Rhinolophus ferrumequinum: one gene and its partners. The main gene of each other region encodes a partner of the protein of the gene in region 2 in a complex. Links are inferred from orthologs where the notes say so. Each region holds a gene or a part of one and is shown on either strand. Other genes may lie near its edges.

What was found. The genes of interacting proteins can lie anywhere in the genome.
Region 1: CHCHD3 (region 2) and MICOS13 share a complex: the UniProt entries of both Homo sapiens proteins name them as parts of the mitochondrial contact site and cristae organizing system (MICOS) complex. The link is inferred for Rhinolophus ferrumequinum from reciprocal best matches to the Homo sapiens genes CHCHD3 and MICOS13.
Region 3: CHCHD3 (region 2) and APOOL share a complex: the UniProt entries of both Homo sapiens proteins name them as parts of the mitochondrial contact site and cristae organizing system (MICOS) complex. The link is inferred for Rhinolophus ferrumequinum from reciprocal best matches to the Homo sapiens genes CHCHD3 and APOOL.

What each region holds. Positions count from the first base shown.
Region 1 is NC_046301.1:58,423,494-58,430,774, forward strand, and holds MICOS13 (MICOS complex subunit MIC13), read left to right. Parts: upstream 1-4,845; 5' UTR 4,846-4,947; coding exon 4,948-4,976; intron 4,977-5,673; coding exon 5,674-5,851; intron 5,852-6,037; coding exon 6,038-6,089; intron 6,090-6,464; coding exon 6,465-6,562; 3' UTR 6,563-6,699; downstream 6,700-7,281. Other genes in the region: HSD11B1L (hydroxysteroid 11-beta-dehydrogenase 1-like protein), read right to left, coding at 363-558, 637-802, 936-1,029, 1,458-1,549, 1,933-2,044, 2,672-2,802, 2,886-2,972, 4,509-4,527. UniProt on the Homo sapiens protein: Component of the MICOS complex, a large protein complex of the mitochondrial inner membrane that plays crucial roles in the maintenance of crista junctions, inner membrane architecture, and formation of contact sites to the outer membrane.
Region 2 is NC_046309.1:14,136,368-14,144,008, reverse strand, and holds the start of CHCHD3 (MICOS complex subunit MIC19), read right to left. Parts: upstream 3,118-7,641; 5' UTR 2,905-3,117; coding exon 2,824-2,904; intron 1-2,823. UniProt on the Homo sapiens protein: Component of the MICOS complex, a large protein complex of the mitochondrial inner membrane that plays crucial roles in the maintenance of crista junctions, inner membrane architecture, and formation of contact sites to the outer membrane.
Region 3 is NC_046284.1:69,669,955-69,678,000, reverse strand, and holds the start of APOOL (MICOS complex subunit MIC27), read left to right. Parts: upstream 1-4,964; 5' UTR 4,965-5,001; coding exon 5,002-5,019; intron 5,020-8,046. UniProt on the Homo sapiens protein: Component of the MICOS complex, a large protein complex of the mitochondrial inner membrane that plays crucial roles in the maintenance of crista junctions, inner membrane architecture, and formation of contact sites to the outer membrane.

The DNA of each region.
Region 1 (7,281 bases), on a different chromosome or scaffold from region 2:
GAGAAGGTTCCAAGGGTGGCTCAGCAATGATGCGACCTGTTTGATGTGGCCAGGGCGCTGGGGCAAGACACATCACCTCTCTGAGCCTAAGCCCCAGTTTTCTCATCTGCGAAATGGAAGCAGCGATCATCCGAGAAGATTGAGTTAATGCCTTTCAAGTCCTTGACCAGGTACTGGCACAGTCACCACTCTCACACTGGAGTTTTCATTGTTTCCAGGTGCTGGTAGTTTTCCTCGGTTTTCCTTTTCTGTCTTGGGCCGGGGCCACTTTCTCAGAGGTGTCTCGGTTTATGTCCCAGCTTCAGGACGGATGGATGGACGGTCCCCCTCTAAGAAGATAAAGGGGCTCCACCCCCAGGAGCTCAGGCAGTGGCGGCAGCAGTGATGTTGAGCTCCTGGCGGATGAACCAGGCCCTCGGGCGTGGCAGCCAAGCCCGGATCAGGCAAAGCAGATGAAAGCGCCATGGGTAGAAGACACCAGAGGCACGCGTGGCACCTCCGCGGATCACAGCCAGGGCTGCCTTGGGCCCCAGGGCCGCCTTGGCCCTTGTGACACCCCTGGGGATGGGAGGGAGTGGTGGGGACTGCAGCTGAGGCTGGGCGCCCCCAGCCCCCGGCTCGAGCCCCTGGCCTTACCTGATACCCTCGGCAGCGGAGGAGCGATCCTGGAGTCCCAGGATGCACATGGTGATGGCCACATTCACGTCCTGCACGTCCAGCTCCCGCCGCAGGGAGCCGAAGAAGCTGTCCAGGGCGAATTTGGCCGCCGAATAGGGGCTGGAGAAGGACGTGGGCACACGGCCTGGGGGCGCGGGACGGCAGCTGCTGAGCAGCCACACGCCGCTCCCACTCCTCCAGGAAGCCTTCCTCCACCATCCAGGCTCGCCTGCATGGAGGCCTGTAGCATTCCCACTCCCTGCCCCTCATGCACGCACCGAGCAGTGAGGACACCACCACCAGGGAGCCCTTGCTGTCCGTCAGACTAGGCAGCGCCAAGGATGTCAGTTGCACGTAACTCAGGAAGTTCACCTGGAAGCGACGACTGAGAGTCACGCAGCGGACAAGGAAAACCAAGCCCAGAAGAGGCAGGGGGAGGACCCTATAAACCTGGGGGCGGGGCTGGTTAGGGAAAGGCGTGCCCGAGGGTCGGGGCGGAGTCCCGGTTGGAAGAGCTGGAGCTCAAGGCCAGAGGCGGGGCCAAAGCCTAGAGAGGGTGGAGCCTGGAACCAGAAGGTGCGGAGCAAGGGGCAGAGAGGGGCAGGGCCCGAAGAGGAATAGGGGAAGAGGGTGGAGTCTGGGAAGGAAGGACTGGAGGGCCGATCCGTGGGTGTAGACAAAGTTGAAAGCAGGTGGAACCTAGCATCCCTAGAGATGGGACCTGGGAATAGGAGAAACAGTGTCGTCCCGGGAGAGCGGAGGCAGGACTGAGGGGGCGGGGCCGAGAAGGGGCGGAGCACCTGCATAAGCCAGCGTGTCGCCTGGGTGCTGCGGGCCGGAGTGCCTGCCGGGGCGGCACCGAGGTGGTTCAGCACGAGGTAGTCCAGCCCACCTATCCCAGAGGCCCATCAGCCAGGAGCCAGTCTTTGAGGCTCCACCCCCTTGACCAGATGAGACCCCTCCCTATCCCCGTCCTTTAAACTAGCAAAGCTCCGCCCAGAGTATTGACCCAAGCAGCTCCGCCTTAGGTAGCGCTCCACAAGATCAAAGGGACCCCGCCTTACTCCCTGGATCCTGCAGGCTTCATCGCTAATTGAATGGGGCCCGGTCCAGAGTTCCGCCCCTTCGATACAATGAGGCCCCACCCCTAACCACAACCCCAGAGCCTTTTAAGTCGCCGCCCACAGACACGCGTTACTACCACACCCCCACCCCAGCTGGGTCTTGTCCTTAAGGCCTAGGCCAAGGTCCCAGACTCCAGGCCCCGCCCCTCACCCAGCTTGTCCAGCGCAAACTGCACCACGCGCTCGGGCACCTCAGGGGAGGCCATGTCCGCAGCGATGTAGAAGACCTTGGGAGCGCCCAGCTTCCGGCAGTTCCCTACCACCTGGGGGGGCCAGAGCTGCCCGTGGGCCCCTCCACCCCAGCTGGCCCCCTCCACCTGCACGACACACTGGGGCCCCCACCTGAAGCCCCCTCCCCCACTAAGCCTCCTATTCCATTCCCAACGCTTTACCACTGGGGTCACAAACTTGGCAGCTCGCCAGACAGAATAGGGGTCATTTTATTTGCTCAATTACCAACATTTAAAATTCAGCAGATTTCAAATAAATCTCAAGGTTTCTGGCCCCTCTTGAAATTCTGGAAGGTTTGTTTCCAAGAGCTGTACATTTCCTTGGAACATTCTGTTGCTGAGAAATGTCCACCCACCTCCCTTTTGCGTTTCAGAACCCTGGCTATGTCACAGGCTTTGGACACTACCAATATTCCCATTTACTGAGGAACACTTCTTGCTTTACACTCACTGTCTTACTGCATCCATCCAACACCATAACACATGAGAAGGTACTTTTATTATCTCCGTTTTGCAAATGAGGAAACTAAGGCTCAGAGAGGTTAAGCAATTTGCCAAATGTCACACAGGAAGCCTGGATCTTTGCAGGGATTCAAACCCAGTACCCATTTTCCATTCTACCCCCACCCCCACCAATAAACTCAAAATGGGGTGTCTCACCTTCTGCAGGAAGGCCTCAGTGTGGGCAGTGAGCACCAGATGGGAGCCCAGGCGGGCATAGTGATATGCCAGCTCCTCCCCGACACCTGCACTGGCCCCTGTTAACAGCACACGGGCTCCCTGGAGGCTGGCTGGTAGTGAGAAGGGGTGGTCAGCCTAGAAGGTGCACAGGACAGCCAGTCCCATTCCTACCTCTCCCACCCCAGGTACTCACCTGGGTCGAAGTTGTCAGCCCAATAATAGGCGAAGAACAGGGCTCCCAGCACGGTAAGGAGCAGGACCTTCATGGCCCTCCCTGGGTCTGCAGCGGGAGAAAGGATGGCCAGCACAGGCCTGGCCCACAGCCACACCCTTTCCCCCAACTGCACCTTTGTTCAAAGAAGATCTTCCTGGCCCTCTCCTCCATCTCCACAGCCACCACCTGGTCCAGGTCACCATACAGCTCACCTGAACCACTGCGCCAATAGATAACACAGTGACATAGAGTGATATGAGGAATGTGGAAGGCAAGAGCTGGGGGAACCCCAAAAGACCACTCTGTCCAGAGACACCCAGAAGGAACTGGACACTCAGGGCTGGGTTGGAGACAAGTCATTAAGGTTAAGACGTGACTTCAGCTGTGAGAGTGATTTACTTGTTCCAGGGAGAAGGTAAGAAACAGGTTAGGTGATTAAAAGTTCGGGGAGTCACGGGTCTCCCCTAAAAAGGGCACAGGCCCATCACACCTCTGGACTCAGTGGGACAAAGAGGAGAGAGGACCTTCCAGGACCCATGGGGCTGACAAGTGGTGGGATTGGGGCGTCCCCATAACTTCAGTCTCTAGATCCAGCCCTATATCCTTTGTCCCCACTACAACGTTCCAGCTGCCTCCTCCCCGGCTCCCCCATCTTCACACTCCCTTCCTCCCACGCTTTATTCTTCATGCAGCCAAAGGGATCTTTGTCAAAAGAAATCTGGAGTGCCCCTTCCTGCTCCAAACCCCCCCCCCCAAGGGCTCGCCACTGCCCCCAATGGAAACCAAGTTCCTCACTGCCCACAAGGCCGAGCAGGCTGCCCTCTGCCCACCTGTCGATTCTCATCTTCCCCTACTCCTGTCAATTAATCAGTTCTCAGAAAAGTGAACTCCTCACCTTTCCCCAGTCATGCCAGCCATTTCCTCAGCAGGGAACGCGCTCCCACTTCCTTCACTTCCAGGAGGAAAGAGCTCGTGAAGCCCCTCAGCTCAACCCTCTTACCAACCCTGGTCTTGACCATAGCATAAAGACTACGCTTTAATGAGTTCTTTCCTGGTGGGACCGCAATCTCCGTCGTCTCGGAGTCGTAACGAGACTCCGACCTCCAGCAGCCCCACAGGGCGAAGCAGGGTTGGATGGATGGGTGAGTGGGTGGGAAGAAGGATGGATGTATGCATGAAGCAGCCCGGCTGCGATGGGGATGGAATGGAGGAACCAGATCCTCGCAGAATCCACTGGCCACCTGACTTCGCCGGGCCTCAGTTTCCCCGCTGGACAAAGGGGGCGTCCGACCCATTCCGCACTCACAATCGCACACTCACCCACTCGGGCCTCAGTTTCTCCCGCTGTCCACCGGGGCTAGGGGTCCGCACTGGAAGCCACGCGTACGCCCTTCTGGTATCCCTTCACGGCCCTGGCCGGTCGGGCCCCCCACCGCGACCCCTCTGGTAGAACCTGAGTCACGTGGCTCCGAACCCACCTCCTCCCCGGGAGGGGCCAGGCCGCTGGGACTCCGCGCCCGGGCGTTGCCGGGCAACCGCCTCCTGCTGGCTCTCCGGCTCCCAGACTAAGCCCTGGCTCCGCCCCGTGGACGGAAAACCCACCCGTCAAGTCCGACGACATGACTTAGACCCGCCTCTCTCGAACAATTCCCGCCCTCGCGTTGTCGTGAAAACTAGCTTCTAGGCACGCTCTTCTTAGGCCCCGGCGTGAATTCTTCGCGCGGGGGGTGGATCTTCCGGACTCCGACATCTTCTTGGGTCACCCTCGGGCCTCACTCCAACTCCCCTCTCCTCTCACGGCTCCAAGGCAGAACTACATTTCCCAGACAGCTTTGCGGCGGCCCGGCCCGGAAGACTACGCTTTAATGAGTTCTTTCCTGGTGGGACCGCAATCTCCGTCGTCTCGGAGTCGTAACGAGACTCCGACCTCCAGAGGCCTTTGCGGCTGACAAGCGAAACTACGCTTCCCAGAAGCCTCTGCGGCTCCGTGACCGGAAGCGGCGGGCAAGCCGAGTGTCCTTGCGCGCGGAACCGAGTGACTATGGTGTCCCGAGTGTGGTCGCTGATGAGGTGCGTGGGGCCGCTGGGCGGGCCCTGAGCCCCCGAGAAATTCCTCTCCTACGGACACCCCTTTCTGGTTTGCTCCCGACCTGCTCTTCGCATCCGGTAGTGTCAGGTGCCCTGTCGCCCAAATGGAGAAACTGAGGTTCAAGCGGGGAGGGGATTCCCCAGGTCGCGCGAGCCGTTGCTTCCCGTCTCTCTATCCAAGATCTCTCCGATCCTCAGTTGCCTCCTCTGTAAAATGGGAGTGCCACACGCCATTTATTGGGAGGTTAATGCACGCCCAGACCGGCGTAGGACATACAGGAAGCGACCAGGGGCACTTGGAAAACCCTTGCAGGTTGCTGGCGGAGAGTCCCTCCCGGGGTGGAAGGCAGGAAGTCGGAGGACTTAAGCCTTTATTGTTCCCTGCTCTCTGCGGGATCACGAGTGACCCACTGTCCCTATGCGGGCCTCAGTTTACCAGTTATTGGGGCGGAGTAGCCCTGCTTTGCACACTAAGTGGGGTGCTGTGCATCGTGGCCGGCAGGCACGCCTCTGGGCTAGCAAGGTGCCGTGTGCTTCTGTTCGCTGCTTGGCTTCAGGTGTGGCACTCTTTGGACTGTGGGGCCCCCTGGGGGTCTAACTCCTCCTCAGGTGGGCCTAGGCCTCAGAGGGTGCCCAGCAGTGTTTCCTGAGCCGCTGTTGTTCCCTTCCCTGTTTGCAGGTTTCTCATCAAGGGCACTGTGGCTGGGGGCGTGGTCTACCTGGTGTATGACCAGCAGCTGCTGGGGCCCAGCGACAAGAGCCATGCGGCCCTTCAGAAGGCTGAGGAAGTGGTACCGCCAGCCATGTACCAGTTCAGCCAGTACGTGTGCGAGCAGACAGGCCTGAAGATACCCCAGGTACCCCGCGCTGAGGCTTGGCGGGAGGGGGCTGTCAATTCTGGGGTGGCCTTCTGTCCCTGGTCCCTCCATCCCTGCTGGGAGCCCTCCACACTGGGGCGTGTGCCGCCCTCCCTGCCTCTGAGGGAAGCTGGGGCTGCCGGGCCCTTCCCCTTTCACCAGGCCCTCTCCCCTGTCTCTTCCCAGCTCCCAGCCCCTCCAAAGTTTAACTTTAACATCCGTGAGTCCTGGAATTCAGGTAGGCCTTGGTCCCTCTGCCTCGGGGGTGGCCCAGGTCCCCGCCCTGCTCCCTGGCGTGCCTTTCCATTGCTCCTTTAACTGTTGTGTGTGCCTCCACGGTCTGAAACAGAAAGGTGGGGGTTCCAGGGAAGTGGGAGCACATAGGGCTGCTTTGTGAGAGCTGAGGCCACATGGGAGCACATCGGGGTTGGGTGGTGTCAGACAAGGCGAGGCCCTGCCCCTCCTCTGCCTCAGTTTCTCCGTGTGGAATTCACAGAGCTAGAAGTGGTGCCTCCACAAGCATGGCTGAGTTGGGTGTCCTGGGGGTTGTACTAAACCCCTTGGCTATAGGTGGGGAACCTCACAGGTGCGTGTCCTCCCTCCCTCCCCACAGGCATCATTACAGTGATGTCTGCCCTGTCGGTGGCCCCATCCAAGGCTTGCGAATACACCAAGGAGGGCTGGGAATACCTGAAGGAGCGAATCAAGTAGCCTGTCAGAGGAGCCCGCCTGTCCCTCAGAAACAGGGGCAGGGGTGCCGTGGACCTCAAGCCTCCAGACTGGGACCCCACTCTGAGGGCAGCTCCTAACCTTGCCGCCCAATAAAGGACTTCGGAAGTGTTCCCTGACCTGTGTGCCTGCCCCAGGGGCCTGGGGTGGCCCAGGTGATGCTTAGAGCATGGGGCCCTGGCCTTCCAGCTCGGGAGGCTCCTCAGGGCCTGATCTTGACCCCAGGCCATGGTTCTTACGTTTGCTGTCTGATCCCTACCTGCTAGGGCCCCCACCTGGTGTGGGGAGTGGGAGCAGACAATGGGCCCCAGTGCTCAGTGCCTCGGAAAAGGGTTGAGAAAGTGCTGAAGACCAGCCTGGGCTGGGGGGGTCTCAGTTCTTGGAGGGCTGAACCCAGGGTGGGGCATTCTGGGAGCGAGCGCTTGGTGGAGTGGGCAGACTTCATCTCCTGTGCTGGTTACACGCCCACTTTTACCTAGTCTTTATTCTCATTCCACGCTCCCCCCAACCTGGGATTCCTGGGGAGCACAGGCCTGGAGGTCATTGCCATGTACTGGGGTCTCCCCAACCCCCAAGGGCTTTGCTGTCCTGACCTCATCTCCTGGAAGTGCTCTGCTCCCCTCGGAAACCTTCCCTGACACCCCTGTCCCACACTGGGCCAGCTGCCTCGTGACCTGAATGTGTCTGCCCCGTCGGGCTGG
Region 2 (7,641 bases):
TGCCTCAAAGGGAACAAGATGCCTGTTCCAAGCTAAGTAAAATAAACAGATTAGCTGAAAAACTTCTAAAAACACCAAGGCAAAAATCACACAGGTCATCAGGTGCAGAACTCAGGACTCCCATTTCCCAATCCACACCTCTGTAGGTATGACTGTGGGAACACAAAATGCTTTTAGTTTTATCTATTAAGTTAATGTAAGTTTACTTATTCACTCCCTTGAATAGCTCTAATTTACAGCTGCTACTCATATAAATACACTCTCTCAAAGTACTAGACACTATGTTAGATGCTGACACACATGTCAAGTTCTCTCAAGTAGTGCTGAATACGCAAGTATCATAAGTAGACTGCATTATCCAGATATACTCAACAGGGAAACACAATCAAAAGAAATGCTGCTCAAAGACCACTAGTGAGAGCAGAGCTAGGACCAAACCGGGTCTGCCTGGGTCTGAAGCACTTCTTCTTTCCACTACACTACACGGAACTTCCAAAGAATCTTAGATGTGGAAGGAACCCTAAAATAACAGCTGCCTCTTATTAAAAATCTACAGTGTGGCACGTGCTTTAAATACCTTACCTCCTCTTCTTACCACAATCAAGAGAAGTGATGGTATTCCCCTTTAAGGATGAGGACATATGACCAGTGACTTGTATAGGCCTCAGGCTGGTAATTGCCTAAGCTGAGATTTAAACAGGTCTTTTTAACTCTAAGTTGATGCTCTTTTAACCATGACCTCAAAGAAATCACAATGACCCCTGAGTACTCAACAATTCAACGGCATGCCATATTTAAAGGACACTGCAACGAGCTGAGGATGACTACATGAAACTTACAGTGCCACTAGACTCACAGAATTTCACAACTGGAAAAGATTAGAGATCTGAGTGATGTACTCAAGCCCCATCATTTTGTAGATGAGAAAGCTGAAGCTCAGAGATTGCAAATCATCCTTGAAAAGGAAGGATTGGAAGCAACAGGGAACAGTGCAAGGGCATTCCAGGTGAAGGGTATATGCTAAAAAAAAAAAAAAAAAAAAAAAAAGAGTACGGAGGTCAAAATGAGCACGCTGCATGCTGGAACTGTAAAATGGTATAGATCACACGTATACCATAAGAGAGAAAAAAAATAAGGAATACTTCCATTAAGATGAGTGGCCAAAGGACATAGCTTCCTTCGTTAAAAAAAAAAAAAAAAAAAAAAAAACGGTTTTAAAATAACGTTTTTAGCAAACCTTTCCGTTTTAATATACTATCTGTCCTTATTACACTTATCCTATTTAACCTTATCTAATATTTGATATGAATCTCTGTGCAGTGGCTAACTTCTCTTTTAATTTTGTCTGCTGTCATACTGTGTCTGTCATACTACTAGAATATGACAACAAGGATTTATCCACTTTTCTAGCCAATGTCTTCTCACTCAAAATTCGTTTTGGTTTTTCTTACTTTTATTTCTTTTTCACTCTCTGGTTTGGAACAATGCCTAAAGGCAACATTAAACACATCTCTACAAAAAACTCAAAGAGTTTACAATGATTTTTATTTTACTCCAAAGAGTACCAACTAAAGCACAACAACACAAAGAATGCACCCTCAGACGGTTTATTACAAAATGTGGTACTACCTTTAATATGATATAAAGAAATGCTGCTCAAAGACCAAAAATTGAGTTCAACAGTCTGAGTTTCTATAAAGAAAACTTTAATAAATTCTTGTCAAGGTAACAGTTTCAGAGTAAAGTTTTTTAAACACTTGAAATATTAGTTAAGAAGTTTTATTTCCTAGTAACAAATGCTAAAAATAATTTACACATATAAATTTTCTTAATGCTGGCTGTGTAATAACAGAGAAAGAAAAACATAAACTATTATAAGACTTTCAGAAGTCAAGGTGCGTTATTTACTAGATTCAGGCATACTTTCAAAAATGTGAGGCTCCAAATTCAGGTGCAGCGAAGAGTGTGTTAATGAAGTTTAGTGCTGGGATACTAACACCCTGGGAAAAATCAAGTTTTCAGTTTATGTATCACGCACAGTCAGGGGACATTTAAAATTTTTCCACAATGTCTCGGTTGGAACTGACTGCGATACTTCTAGATGTCTGAAAAAAATGCAATCCTATCTCAAGCCGTATCAGGCTGGCAGACACTAGTCATAAAGCAACTGGGCCTACTCCAAAACTTAGGCGCGGCAGGCCACAGAGGAGGTGCCTGCGAAAGACAAGATGTCCAGTAAACGCGAAGGGCAGAGAAGCCAGAAGTCCCCTGAGGCAGGCCAGAAAAGTCTGTGAGGTGGGGTGGTGGGTGGGTGGGTGCGTGGGTGTCGTGTTGGAGGCATAGGTGGTTTGAGTGGAAGAATAGTAACTGACAGAGAACAGATAAAGTGTTAATTAAAATCCCAACTCACCACACCGGAGGTGATGAGAGCAGTGCAAAAGCAGGGTTTGGGTCCTGAAGCCAGGAGAAATGAAACAAGTCCCATTTCACAGATGGGCACAGTGAGGCAGGGGTTTCGAATAAAGTTCCACAACTAGTGAGCGATACAGTCAAGACTAGACTGTGAGCGTTTGGAGAGTCCAATCACCCTGGCGACCCCCCACTAGCCCAGCTGTGCTCAGCACTTGGCACAGAACCAGGAAATCTCTCAATGAAATGTCCCAAGTCTTGAAATTTCAAGCTTCTTTGCAGAGAACTCGGCTTCCCATCGGACAATACTTGGGGGTCCGGGTGGGGGTAACCAGGCTGTGTGGATCCTGGCAAGGTCGTAGGTTTGGGTTCCGAGCGTGAGTGCTGACCCTCCACCCGCCCACTGTCACTCACCCGGATGCCCTTCACCACGGTGATGTTCTCATTCTCATCCGCCTCGAAGGTGACCCGGCGGGTGCTGGCGGTCCCGCCCATGGCTTCTTCTGTCCCCGCAGAGACCTAGCGTGGACCCACGAGCACCTCAGGCCCCACGCGCACACACGCGCGTGGACGTGCCCGGACTTTTTCCTCGCACAGCGGGTGCAAGGCCACGACCCCAAGAAGCAAGGAGAAGGCGCCGGTCCTGAGCTCCCTCCTCCTCCGGTCACGCTCCACAATAAGATGCCTTCGGTTGGTGGGAGATACAAAGGGCCCGCCTCTACTCCTTAGGGGTGCCCGGATTGGTTGCCCCGGACCCGGATACTATGACAACAGGTGGTATATGACAAGGTTTCCGGAGCCCCCAAGGCATACTGGGAATTGTAGTCTCCACCTGGCGCCAAGGGTGACGGGACATTCTCGTCTTAATCCGTGGGCACAAGAGGAGCGTGGCATTCTGGGAGTTGTGGTCTTGACTACCCGAAAGGCTTCTAATGGGACAACTTTCCAGAAAGTTCATTCATTTAACGAAACATGCATTGAAGATAGTATTCTAAAAATTTAGGCTAGTGAGTTAAAAAATTCTCTCTCTCTCTCTCTCTCTCTCTCTCTCTCTCTCTCTCTCTCGCTTTCTCTCTCTCCACACACACACACACACACAAACACACACACACACACACACTTTAATGAGGAAATGCACTGTCCAAGTGCAGACATTGCTAGATTCCTATAAAATCCCTCAAGCAAAATTTCGCATTTCTTTATTTTAGTCTTAGCCCCGCCCCCCCAAAAATAAAACACTGTATTTGGCCTATAGCTTTATTTCATGAACTATGAACTGTTTAATTTCTTTCTGTGAAGTAAAATTTTAAATATTATAGTTTTCAAATTAGCTTGTAAGAAAACAGAAAATAAATTATTTATAAGCATACAGAGCACTTTTTTGTGTCTCCTTTCACTTCAGTTACATAAGCTAGTTAGGCCTTAATACTAATGAAGCAGAGAAAAGTTAAATGATTGACAAAGATGGCATAAATTAGCGGAGGAATTAAAACTACATCAGACAAAGTTCAGAAAATCTATTTTGGAAAGTTTCTATTTCACCTCTATAAGACCAGTAAATAATTTTCAAGTTATCTACATGCACAGTTTTTAAAAAAAAATTTGCTAACTCTTCTGTGACATGTAAGTTTAGCCATATGACCTTAGTCTTATGGAGGTGTATAATTCTCTTTATAAATTAGGTTAATGATGCTACTATCTTCAGTACCTTTCGACATTAAAAAGCAGCCAACCACAATACAGCATGGCATCCTCTTATTGCAAAGCTATCCACAAAAATGCAGTAACATTTTTGAATTACAGTTATGTCCTAAGTCATTACTGTCAGAATCTTTAGGACAGAAACTAAGTCTCTTTCATCTCTGTATCCCTCGTCAGTAGCAGAGTATTGAATTTATTACATGTCATTTTGTTCTTTTTGACATATGTATATCCAAATTGTACTGCAGTTTTGTGATTACATGTTATTTTGTATATGTTCTCAAGTTGTGCAATATGTTTTAACCTTCCTTCTACAGGGAACTAAAAATCCTTGGAATTATGTCTTTTGCTTCTTTGGAACCTCCCCTCCAGAAACACATCTTCTTCACTTATTACCCCAATATTACAGCACATATTACAACCACATAAAACAGTTGCTCAATCAATTCTTGTCAATTGCAAAGAGTTTCTTTGTTATTGCAAAATAACCAATTACAAAGAGTTTCTTAGAGAGAGTACAGAGATGAAGGAACCACTAGTTATCTTGAATATATTTATCTCCTTAGAATATTAAAAGAGTTCATTCAACCAAATAAATATGATGAAGGCTAACCATAAAAGAGTAGTGTGGTACCTTCACTTTTTATGATACAGAAACATGTAAGAGGTCTTATCAGATAATCTAAAAAGAGATATACAATACAGTATTTTTAACTGTAGTGGATCTTGAAAGTCCTCATCAGAAGAAAAAAAATGTTTGAAACTATGTATATGGACAAATGTTAGCTAGATTTATTGTGGTGATCATTTCTCAATAAATACAAATATGCAATCATTATGCTGTATACCTTAAACTAACATGTTATATGTCAATTATACCTCAATAAAAATACCTCAGAATTCATAATCTATTTCAACCAACAACATTACAACCTACAAAGAAACCTTCCGAAATTAAAAAAAAAAAAAGGATACATCTTACTCTTGGAAAAATCCCTCCTATACCAATATTGTTCTCTCTCTATCAATTTCAAAGCCAGGCCATGCCTACATCCCCTTCTAAAGAAAATGTCTTGCAATACCCAGAACCTGTGGTCTCCCTTTCTCTCCGACCTCAGCTTATTAGTGATTCTCTAACCCAAAGGAAGCATTTATTAGCCAGAGACCTATGAACTAGAATGCAAAGTTTTGCCCAAACAAAAATAATAACTAACACTTGAGCTAATCAGATTCTCTATGTCTTTTTTCCCTTTTCTCTATCTCTATTTAAACTTGAAAATTCAGAACATACAAAAAGATAGCAAAGAGAGAAGCTATGATACTGAGTTAGAAACATGACGCATTGTAGCATACTAAAGATAGGTGGAAGCAGAACTTGTAAGCAGAATACAAGACATCCACTGGAAAAGAAGTAAAACTATCTCTATTCACAGAATGATATGATGTAATAAATAGAAAAATCCCAAGAAATCTACTAAAAAGCTCTTAGAACTAATAAAAATAAATAAAGTTTAGCAAGGTTGCAGGATACAGGATCAACATACAAGAATTAATTGTATTTCTATACACTAGCAATTAACATACCAAAATTAAATTAAGAAAACAACTTCATTTATAATAGTATTTTAAAAACCCAAATGTCCCTTAACTGATTTCTGGATAAACAAAATGTAGTGTAGCCAGAAAACGGAATTTATTCTGCAATAAAAAGGAATAAAGTACTGACTTATGCTACAATATGGATGAGCCTCGAGAACGTTAGGCCAAGAGAAAGAAGCCAGGCACAAAAAGCCACGTATTGTACCATTCAATTTAAATGAAATGTCTAGACTGGGCAAATCTACAGAAAATGAAATTAGGTTTGCCAAGGACAAGGAAAGGGTGAGATGGGGAGTGACTTCTAATTGGTACAAGGTTTCTTTGGGTGGGAGGGGGTAATAAAAATGTTTTTAAGGAAAAAGAAACAAAGGAAAATGTGAGACGCTTCGAGGTACAGAAAAATAAGCCACAAAAAAGGGAGACTAAAATAAAACAGACCTTCAAGAATTAGCATAGTCCTACAAGTAACAGAGCTCTGGAGTGAAGACCCACAACTCCAGAAGCTTCTAGAATTGCCTAGAATTCAGAAAGATCTTCCAGCTGAAGTTTTTGTCATGGTCGACTCTATCAAGGTGACTACTCTTCCTGAGGTCCAGCTGTCCCATCTTTCCCAGGTTCTGGGGCACACGTAACCTTACCAAAGAATCTTACTAATCACATGTGACCTGCCCAAATATCTACAACATAGTATTTTCTTCAGTCTCCAACCAAGAAACCAGTACTCTAAGTAAAAAGAATGATGTCAACAGTTTACTTTGATGCAAAGCAGAGAACCAAGCAGTCGTTTGATGCTTCACAAATAGCTTCGCTATCAAGCAATCTTACTTTCCAACTCCTTCACCCTGAGCCATGTCTTCCTTTCCCACCATGTTAAACCATTGGAATTAATGTTGCAAACAGACAACCAAATGCTTCTGCTGTCAAAATTCCAATCATCTCTAAGGCTCTCCTCCCCTGAAAAAAAATCCATGTACACTTCCAAAGCACTCAAACAAACAATTCCAGAAGTCTCAAGGTAGGAAGAAGGTTTTCACTATATACTCTGCTTTTTTCAATCCTATAACTTTAAACAAAAAGTTGCAGAAGGCAAAATGCTGGTGACTCCTCTTCTTCACACACCCTTTGACTGTCCCTGATATACTAATTAAGAGTGTAGGAAGAGATAGGTAAGAAGAGTAAAAACAGAAAAAACGTGACCTGGCCTAATGAGGAATCAGGGAGGAGAGAGCTGGTCTTTGTCCCCAGCCAGAAAAGCTAACCGATGTGCTCTCCTCATCTCTTCTCAGTAGCATTTCAACGGCACAGTAATGTGCTCAGGTTCTATGACCTGGGCTGAAATAAAATATAGATGTAATGATCATGTTATGTGAGATGAAAACTGGAGCTGATGCTCTGACTATTATTTATGTACTTAGAGAGACAATTATATCCGTCCTTGAAACCAGGATCATCCGAGAAAATCTAGTACATATAGTTGCCATCGTTATAGAAAACCAATTAAAAATCACTGAAAAGTGCTTCTTATGTGGTGCAGACAATCAATATGAAGACATTCTGGAAATATGGACTAAGACTTATTCAATAAGCCATAACGGGACATCAGCCTGAAAGCTTTCTCTGGCAATTAAGAATCATCTAAAAACAATGAAGCTCTAAAACAGTAGTTTGTGTGTGTGCATGTGTGTGTGAGCGTGAGCGTGCATGTGTATACACGTGCGAATGTGCTTATCTGACATATTTTGAATACAAGAATTTTGAACCTCACACTTGAAGAGATAAAAAACCCCAAAATGGCATGCAACAAGTCAGCAATGATTACATATCATTCACAAATACCGTATAACAATGTCTCTCTGTGTCTTCGAAAGTATCCACTGTTAATGGCACACAAATCACGTGGTCTCCCTTGAGCATCCCGTCACTGATAAAGTA
Region 3 (8,046 bases), on a different chromosome or scaffold from region 2:
TTGGGATTGTACTTGCTCATCGTGTGTCCCCATAGTGTTGTTAAAGTAGAATAAAACTGCTATTCAAATACTTTCATGGATATTATTTTAGAAAAACGCAGGGTGATAGTGCATAACTACCACAGAAAGCAGACTTACGTTTATAATGAAAGTAACGGGCTTTATAATTTTTCCCAGTTGATACTTTTTGATTTAATTTTATTTATTATTTATTTTTTAATTTTTTTTAGGGTTTTGGTTTTCTTAAAGTATAATTTACTATTATTATTATTTTTTTCTTTTTTTAATTTATTGCGGTGACCAATTGTTAGTAAAATTACATAGATTTCAGGTGTACAATTCTGTATTACATCATCTATAAATCCCATTGTGTGTTCACCACCCGGAGTCAGTTCTCCTTCCATCACCATATATTTGATCCCCCTTACCCCCATCTCCCACACCCCAGCCCCGTTACCCTCTGGTAACCACTTAAACTATTGTCTGTGTCTATGAGTTCTTCTTTCTTATTTGTCTGTCTTGTTCTTTTGTTGTTTTTGGTTTATATACCACATATCAGTGATATTCTATGGTTCTCTGCTACTTCTGTCTGACTTATTTCGCTTAGCATTATACTCTCAAGATCCATCCATGTTGTCACAAATGTTGCTCTATCTTTTCTTACCGCCGAAACATATTCCATTGTGTATATATACCACAACTTCTTTATCCATTCATCTATTGAAGGACATTTTGGTCGTTTCCATGTCTTGTCCACCGTAAACAAAGCTGCAATGAACATTGGAGCACACGTGTCTTTATGTGTAGATGTTTTCAGATTTTTTGGGTAGATACCCAGGAGAGGGATTGCTGGGTCATATGGTAATTCTATTAGTAATTTTTTGAGGAACCTCCACAATCCCTTCCATAATGGCTGCACCAGTCTGCATTCCCACCAACAGTGTATGAGGATTCCTTTTTCTCCACAGCCTCTCCAACACTTGTTACTATTTGTCTTGTTGATGATAGCCATTCTGACTGAGGTGAGGTGATATCTCATTGTGGTTTTTATTTGCATTTCTCTGATGATTAGTGATGTTGAGCATTTTTTCATATGTCTACTTGCCATTTCTATGTCCCCTTTGGAGAAATGTCTCTTCAGGTCCTCTGCCCCTTTTTCAATTGGGTTGTTTGTTTTTGTGTTGTTGAGTTTCATGAGTTCCTTGTATATTTTGGATATTAGCCCCTTATTGGAGGCACTGTTTGCAAAAATCTCCCATTCACTTGGTTGCTTCTTTATTTTGTCGATGGTTTCTTTTGCTGTGCAGAAGCTTTTAAGTTTCATATAGTCCCATTCGTTTACTTTAGCTTTTACTTCCATTGCCTTGGGAGTCCAATTCATAAAATGCTCTTTAAACCCAAGGTCCATAAGTTTAGTACCTATGTTTTCTTCTACGCACTTTATTGTGTCAGCTCTTATGTTTAAGTCTTTGATCCATTTTGAATTAATTTTGGTACATGGTGACAGATAGCAGTCCTGTTTCATTCTTTTGCACGTGGCTTTCGAATTCTGCCAGCACCATTTATTGAATAGGCTGTCTTTCCTCCATTGTATGTTTTTAGCTTCTTTGTCAAAAATTAACTGTCCATATTTATGTGGTTTTATTTCTGGGTTCTCAGTTCTATTCCATTGGTCTGTGTGTCTGTTTTTCTGCCAATACCATGCTGTTTTGATTATTGTAGCCCTGTAGTACAAGCTAAAGTCAGGGAGTGTGATACCTCCTGTATTGTTCTTTTTTCTTAAGATTGCTTTTGCTATTCGGGGTCTTTTGTGGTTCCAAACAAATCTGATGAGTTTTTGTTCTATTTCTTTAAAAAACGCCATTGGGATTTTGATGGGGATTGCATTAAATCTGTATATTGCTTTGGGTAATATGGCCATTTTAACTATGTTAATTCTTCCAATCCATGAGCACGGAATGTCTTTCCATTTCTTTGTGTCTTCTTCAATTTCTTTCAAAAATGTCTTATAGTTTTCAGCATATAGGTCCTTCACATCCTTAGTTAAGTTTATTCCTAGGTATTTTATTCTTTTTGGTGCAATTGCAAAAGGAATTGTTTTTTGCATTTCTTTTTCTGAGATTTCATCGTTAGTATATAGGAATGCAATGGACTTTTGTACATTGATTTTGTAGCCAGCAACTTTACTGTATTCGTTGATTGTTTCTAATAGCTTTTTGGTGGAGTCTTTAGGATTGTCTATATATACCATCATGTCATCTGCAAAGAGTGATAATTTAACTTCTTCATTCCCAATGTGGATGCCTTTTATTTCTTTCTCTTGCCTGATTGCTCTGGCAAGGACTTCCACACTATGTTGAAAAGCAGAGGTGACAGGGGACAGCCCTGTGGTGTTCCTGAACATAGAGCAAAGGGCTTCAGTTTTTCACCATTAATTATGAGATTAGCTGAGGGCTTGTCATATATGGCCTTTATGATGTTAAGGTATTTTCCTTCTATACCTATTTTATTAAGTGTTTTAATCATAAATGGATGTTGTATCTTGTCAAATGCTTTTTCTGCATCAATTGATATAATCATATGATTTTTGTCCTTTATTTTGTTTATGTGATGTATCACATTGATGGATTTGCGGATGTTGAACCATCCTTGTACCCCGGGGATGAACCGCACTTGGTCATGATGAGTGATCTTTTTAATGCATTGTTATATTAGATTAGCTAGAATTTTGTATAGGATTTTTGCATCTGTATTCTTCAGACATATTGGTCTGTAGTTTTCTTTTTTTGTGCTGTCCTTACCAGGTTTTGGTATCAGGTTAATGTTGGCCTAATAAAATGAGTTAGGGAGTACTGTCTCTTCTTCAATTTTTTGGAAGAGTTTGAGCAGGATCGGTATTAGATCCTCTTTGAAGGTTTGGTAGAATTCACTAGTGAAGCGATCTGGTCCCGGACTTTTGCTTTTAGGGATGTTATGGATGACTGATTCAATTTCATTACTGGTGATCGGTCTGTTTAGATTTTCCAGTTCTTCATGGTTCAGCCTTGGAAGGCTATAGGTTTCTAAGAACTTGTCCATTTCTTCTAGGTTATTGAATTTGGTGGCATATAGCCCTTCATAGTATTCTTGAATGATCCTTTGTATTTCTGTGGTGTCCGTGATAACTTCCCCTTTTTCATTTCTGATTTTGTTAATTAGCGTTTTTTCTCTTTTTATCTTAGTGAGTCTAGCCAAGGGTCTGTCAGTTTTGTTAATCTTTTCAAAGAACCAGCTCTTTGTCACATTAGTTTTTTCTAGTGTCTTTTTGTTCTCTATTTCATTTTGTTTCGCTCTAATTTTTGTTATTTCTTTTCTTCTTCTGAGCTTGGGTTTCACTTGTTCTTCTTTTTCTAGTTCTTTAAGGTGTAACATGAGGTTATTTATTTGGGATTTTTCTTGTTTCTTGAGATAGGCCTGTAATGACACTAAATTTCCCTCTTAAAACTGCTTTGGCTGCATCCCAAAAATTTTGGTAGGATGTATTTTGATTCTCATTTGTTTCTATGTATCTTTTGATCTCTCCTCTAATTTCTTCTTTGACCCAGTCGTGCTTTAAAATTATGTTGTTTAATCTCCATGTATTTGTGTTTTTTCCTGCTTTCTTTTTGCAGTTCATATCTGATTTCAAAGCCTTGTGATCAGAGAATATGCTTGGTATGATTTCAATCTTCTTAAATTTGCTGAGTCTGATTTTATGTACCAATATATGGTCTATCTTTGATAATGTTCCATGTACACTAGAAAAGAATGTATAGTCTGATGTTTTAGGATGAAGTGCTCTATATATGTCAATTATGTCCATTTCATCTAATGTGTCAGTTAGGGCTGCTATTTTATTATTTTTTTTTTCTGTTTGTATGATGTATCCATAGCTGTCAATGATGTATTTAAGTCCCTTAATATAATTGTGTTTTGGTCAATTTCTCCCTTTAGTTCATTTAGCAGTTGCTTGGTATATTTCGGTGCTCCCTGATTGGGGCGTAAATATTGATGACTGTTACGTCTTCTTGTTGTATAGTCCCCTTTATCATTATGAAATGTCCATCTTTGTCTCTTGTTATCTTTTTCACCCTGAAGTCTGTTTCATCTGATATCATTATGGCTACACCTGATGTTCTCTGGGTACCATTTGCTTGGAGTGTCAATTTCCACCCTTTCACTTTGAGTCTATGCTTGTCCTTGTAGCTGAGATGTGTCTCTTCGAGACAGCATATGTTTGGGTTTAATTTTTTTGATCCAATCTGCTGCTCTGTGCCTTTTTATTGGTGAATTCAGTCCATTTACATTTTGGGTGATTATTGATATGGGAGGATTTCCTGTCATTCTATCTTTAGTTTTTTGGTAAGGCTGTGTCTCCATTGTTTCTTTGCCTTTCTGTTGTTGTCTATTATTTCTGTGTGGTGGTATTCTATGATATTTCCCTCTGTTTCTTCTTTTATTACACTATATATTTCAGTTCTGGATTTTTTTTTTGAGTGGTTCTCCTTAAGTTTATGTAAAAGTAAGTTTGATATTTAGAGTATTCCATTTTCTTCAGCACGCTTACTTTCTCCATTCCCATATTCTGGTTCAGGCCTTTACTGTCCCCCTTTTTATGTTTCGGTTGCCACAAATTGTCCCTGTTGGTGGTGGTCGAATAGCCTCCTTTAGTATTTCTTGTAGGGCAGGTCGTGTATTAGAAAATTCCCTCAGCTTTTGTACGTCTGGAAAGGTCTTTCTTCCTCCTTCATATCTAAAGGATATGTTTGCTGGATGTACTATTCTTGGCTCACAGTTTTTCTCTTTCAATAGTTAGAATATTTGGTTCCACTCCCTCCTGGCTTGTAGAGTGTCTGTTTGAAAAATCTGATGATAATGTAATGGGCTTTCCTTTGTAGGTGACCGTCTTCTTTTCCCTGGCTGCCTTGAGGATTCTTTCTGTGTCGTTGATTTTAGACAGCTTCAATACAATGTGCCTTGGAGATGTCCTGTGGGATTGAGGTAATTAGGTGTTCTATTTGATTCTTGGATTTTAGGATCCAGTGCTGTCCACCAGTTTGGGAAGTTCTCATCAACAATTTGTTTGAATATATTCTCTGTTCCCTTCTCTCTTTCTTCTCCTTCTGGTATACCCATTATTCTTATATTGGTGTTTGTGATGGAGTCAGAAAGTTCTTGTAGAGGTCTTTCATTTCTTTTAAGTCTCAAGTCTCTTTCTTCTTCCAGCTGTGTAATTTCCATGTTTCTATCTTCGATGTCACTGATTCTTTCCTCCATCTGGGCAACTCTGCCACCTAAGCTGGTTGTTTCATTCTTAACTTTTTCTATTAAGTGTTTAATTTCCAGAAATTCTGTTTGGTTCTTTTTTAAAATTTCAATGTCTTTCGTAAAATGCTCATGTTGTTCTTTGATTGTGTTTCTGAGATCATTAAACTGCCTTTCTGTGTTTTCTTGGATCTCGTTGAGTTTTTTCAGAACTGCAATCTTGAATTCTCTGTCATTTAAGTCACATATTTCCATATCTTTAACTTCATTTTCTGGAGACTTTTCACTTTCTTTCTGAGCTGTCTTGCTGCCTTGGTTATTCATGGCGATTACTGATTTATTTTTTCTCTTCCTAGACATCTGCAGGAGTGACTTCTGCATCAGGTTGATAGGAAGAGGTCTTTCTTTAGTTTTTCAGTACTTGTTGGTAGAATATTTTATTTTCTCTCCGACTGCAGCCTTTTTCTTCGCTCACCCGGTAGTGCTTTGTTTTCTCTGCACTATTCCAGCTTCTTACACAATGGGGGGATTTCCTGGGAGATGGGCTTCTCCTCTGTTAATAGTTCGCTTGGGTCACAGGGCGCAGTGTCTGTATGGGTATGCGGAGAGCTTTTGAAGTTCCAAAACTCTTCCCGCACCTGATTCAGAGCCCGTATGTTTCAGCTGTTCTGTTTACTCCTGCAGGGATCTGCCCAGATAGGTGGGGCCAGGGGCGGGGTGAGTTGTGAGAGGTGGCCCAGAGCAATGGCGGCGACCACCATCATAGCTGGTCCTGCTTCCGCAGCTCCCTCCCCTTTGCCAGAACTAGTTGGGCTGCGAATCTGTGTCTGTGGTCCACAGTTCTCAGAACATCAAATATTCTGTTCTTTTATTCTGACACTGCTAGTGTTCCTCTTCTATTACTGGGCAGGTGGGGGCAGGGCGATCTGTGGGAGGGTAGGGAGGGCCGGCTAGTCTCAGTGCCTAAGGCTCCGTTCTCTGCTTGGCAGTGAGGGCTTAAACCACTGTTTTCAGCCTTCTGCCCTCAGTCTTTCCTCCAAGGTCTCTGCCGTGAACATTGGGTTCATCCGTGTTATATGCTGCCCCCTCAGCCCTGTGGGCCATATGCGGAGCCCTAGCAGTCCGAGTTCTTCCCTCTCCCGCAGCTGCGGTAGTTCCGGGAAGCAGCGAGCTCGGACACTGAACTAGGTGTGTGTCCTGCGCCCGCCCGCGCAGCTCCGTCTCCGCACGTCTCCCTTCCCTTCTACCCCGCTCGCTTGATTCGCCCACCTTTCAGTGAATTCAGTAGTGGGCCTCTTCGTCTTGCCTGTCTGCTGTGCAGGGAGTCCTTTGTGGAGTTATTGTTGTTCGATTAGTTGTAAATTCCAGGGGAGCTTTACAGAGTCTCACCTCACGCCGCCATTTTTCTTGTTTTTATTTTTAATAAAAATATCATTTCAGGGCTGAGGGAAAAATAAGCAAATATGTGATTTGACAGTTTTTGTGTCAAATAAATCAACAAAATGATCTCTAATAGATTTTGGTTTTATTTGTACTTTTGATGACTTACTACATTTAACCATGTTGTATTTCATAAGCCTTGTGTTTTAAACCATAAGAAATTTTAGAGAGAGACATGTTTGAGTCATAAAGCTGCCTTATTTCAACTTTAACCTATGGAATGACATGTGATATATAAATAGAGAGGTTATCCTGAATATTTTATTGTTACCCCCACCTCTAAATTCAACACTTTAGAAAAGTGGTGATGATTTTTAAGTAAGCCTAACAAAAATCTAAAGGATGGATAAATATGATTATTTCATATTTTAGACCTTACAACTTACATTTGTTCAAAGATAGGTTACTTTGATCTGATCTTGTGTCATTAATTTATACTAACTTATGTACTTGATACAAGGCTGGTTAAATTGGCTACAACACTGCTACGATACAGTTATTGTCCTCAAGGAAAATGGAATCTATGGGGTTCAAAACAGAGTGAGAAAACAAGTCTAATTAGAGGGTTAGGAAAGACTACATGAAGAGTGCCACATCTAGTAGTTCCGTAGAATGGCCAGAAGTTTAGTAGAGAGGGTATTCCTAAGGGTAATGATGTGGAGAAAGACAACCGCTTGAGTTTAGCTATATCAAAGAATTCCTAAAGGAGAACAGCGAACAGAGACAAGGCTAGAAAAGTCATGTTGAATTTCCCCAGAGATGGGGTTTGGATGAGGTAGGAGCATATCTTTTTTTATATTTTTATTCCTAGTACCTAGGATAGTGTTTGACTAATCTTTGTGTAAAGAATGGGAAAATGTAAAGAAAATGCATATGATAAGTTTGCTTTTATGATTTTATGAGACTATTCTCTGATATATAGGTTTAGACTGTTTTTCAGAACCATTCCTATAGAAGGATAAAATCTCTCATTTTCATATTTTCCCTTTACTTTATTGAAAGTGTGATTCCATTATATTCCACTGCAGTGGCATAAACAACATCCAGCTCTTCTGCTGTCTTCAGGTCAACATAGGTGCCCTGAATAGATGGATATAGAGCTAAAATTGGTATGTTTGAAAGCAAAAATCAAGTAAAAATTTAATCTGTTCTTGTTATTGAATAAATTTCACATGTAACATTGTGAAAGTTTAAGGTGTTCAGCCTGTTACTTTGATATGTTTATATATTGTAATGTGATTGCCAATGTAACAATATTTATCACATTACATAATTATAGTGCAGTATTGTTTTCTGTATTTATTATACTGTTTAGATCTCTAT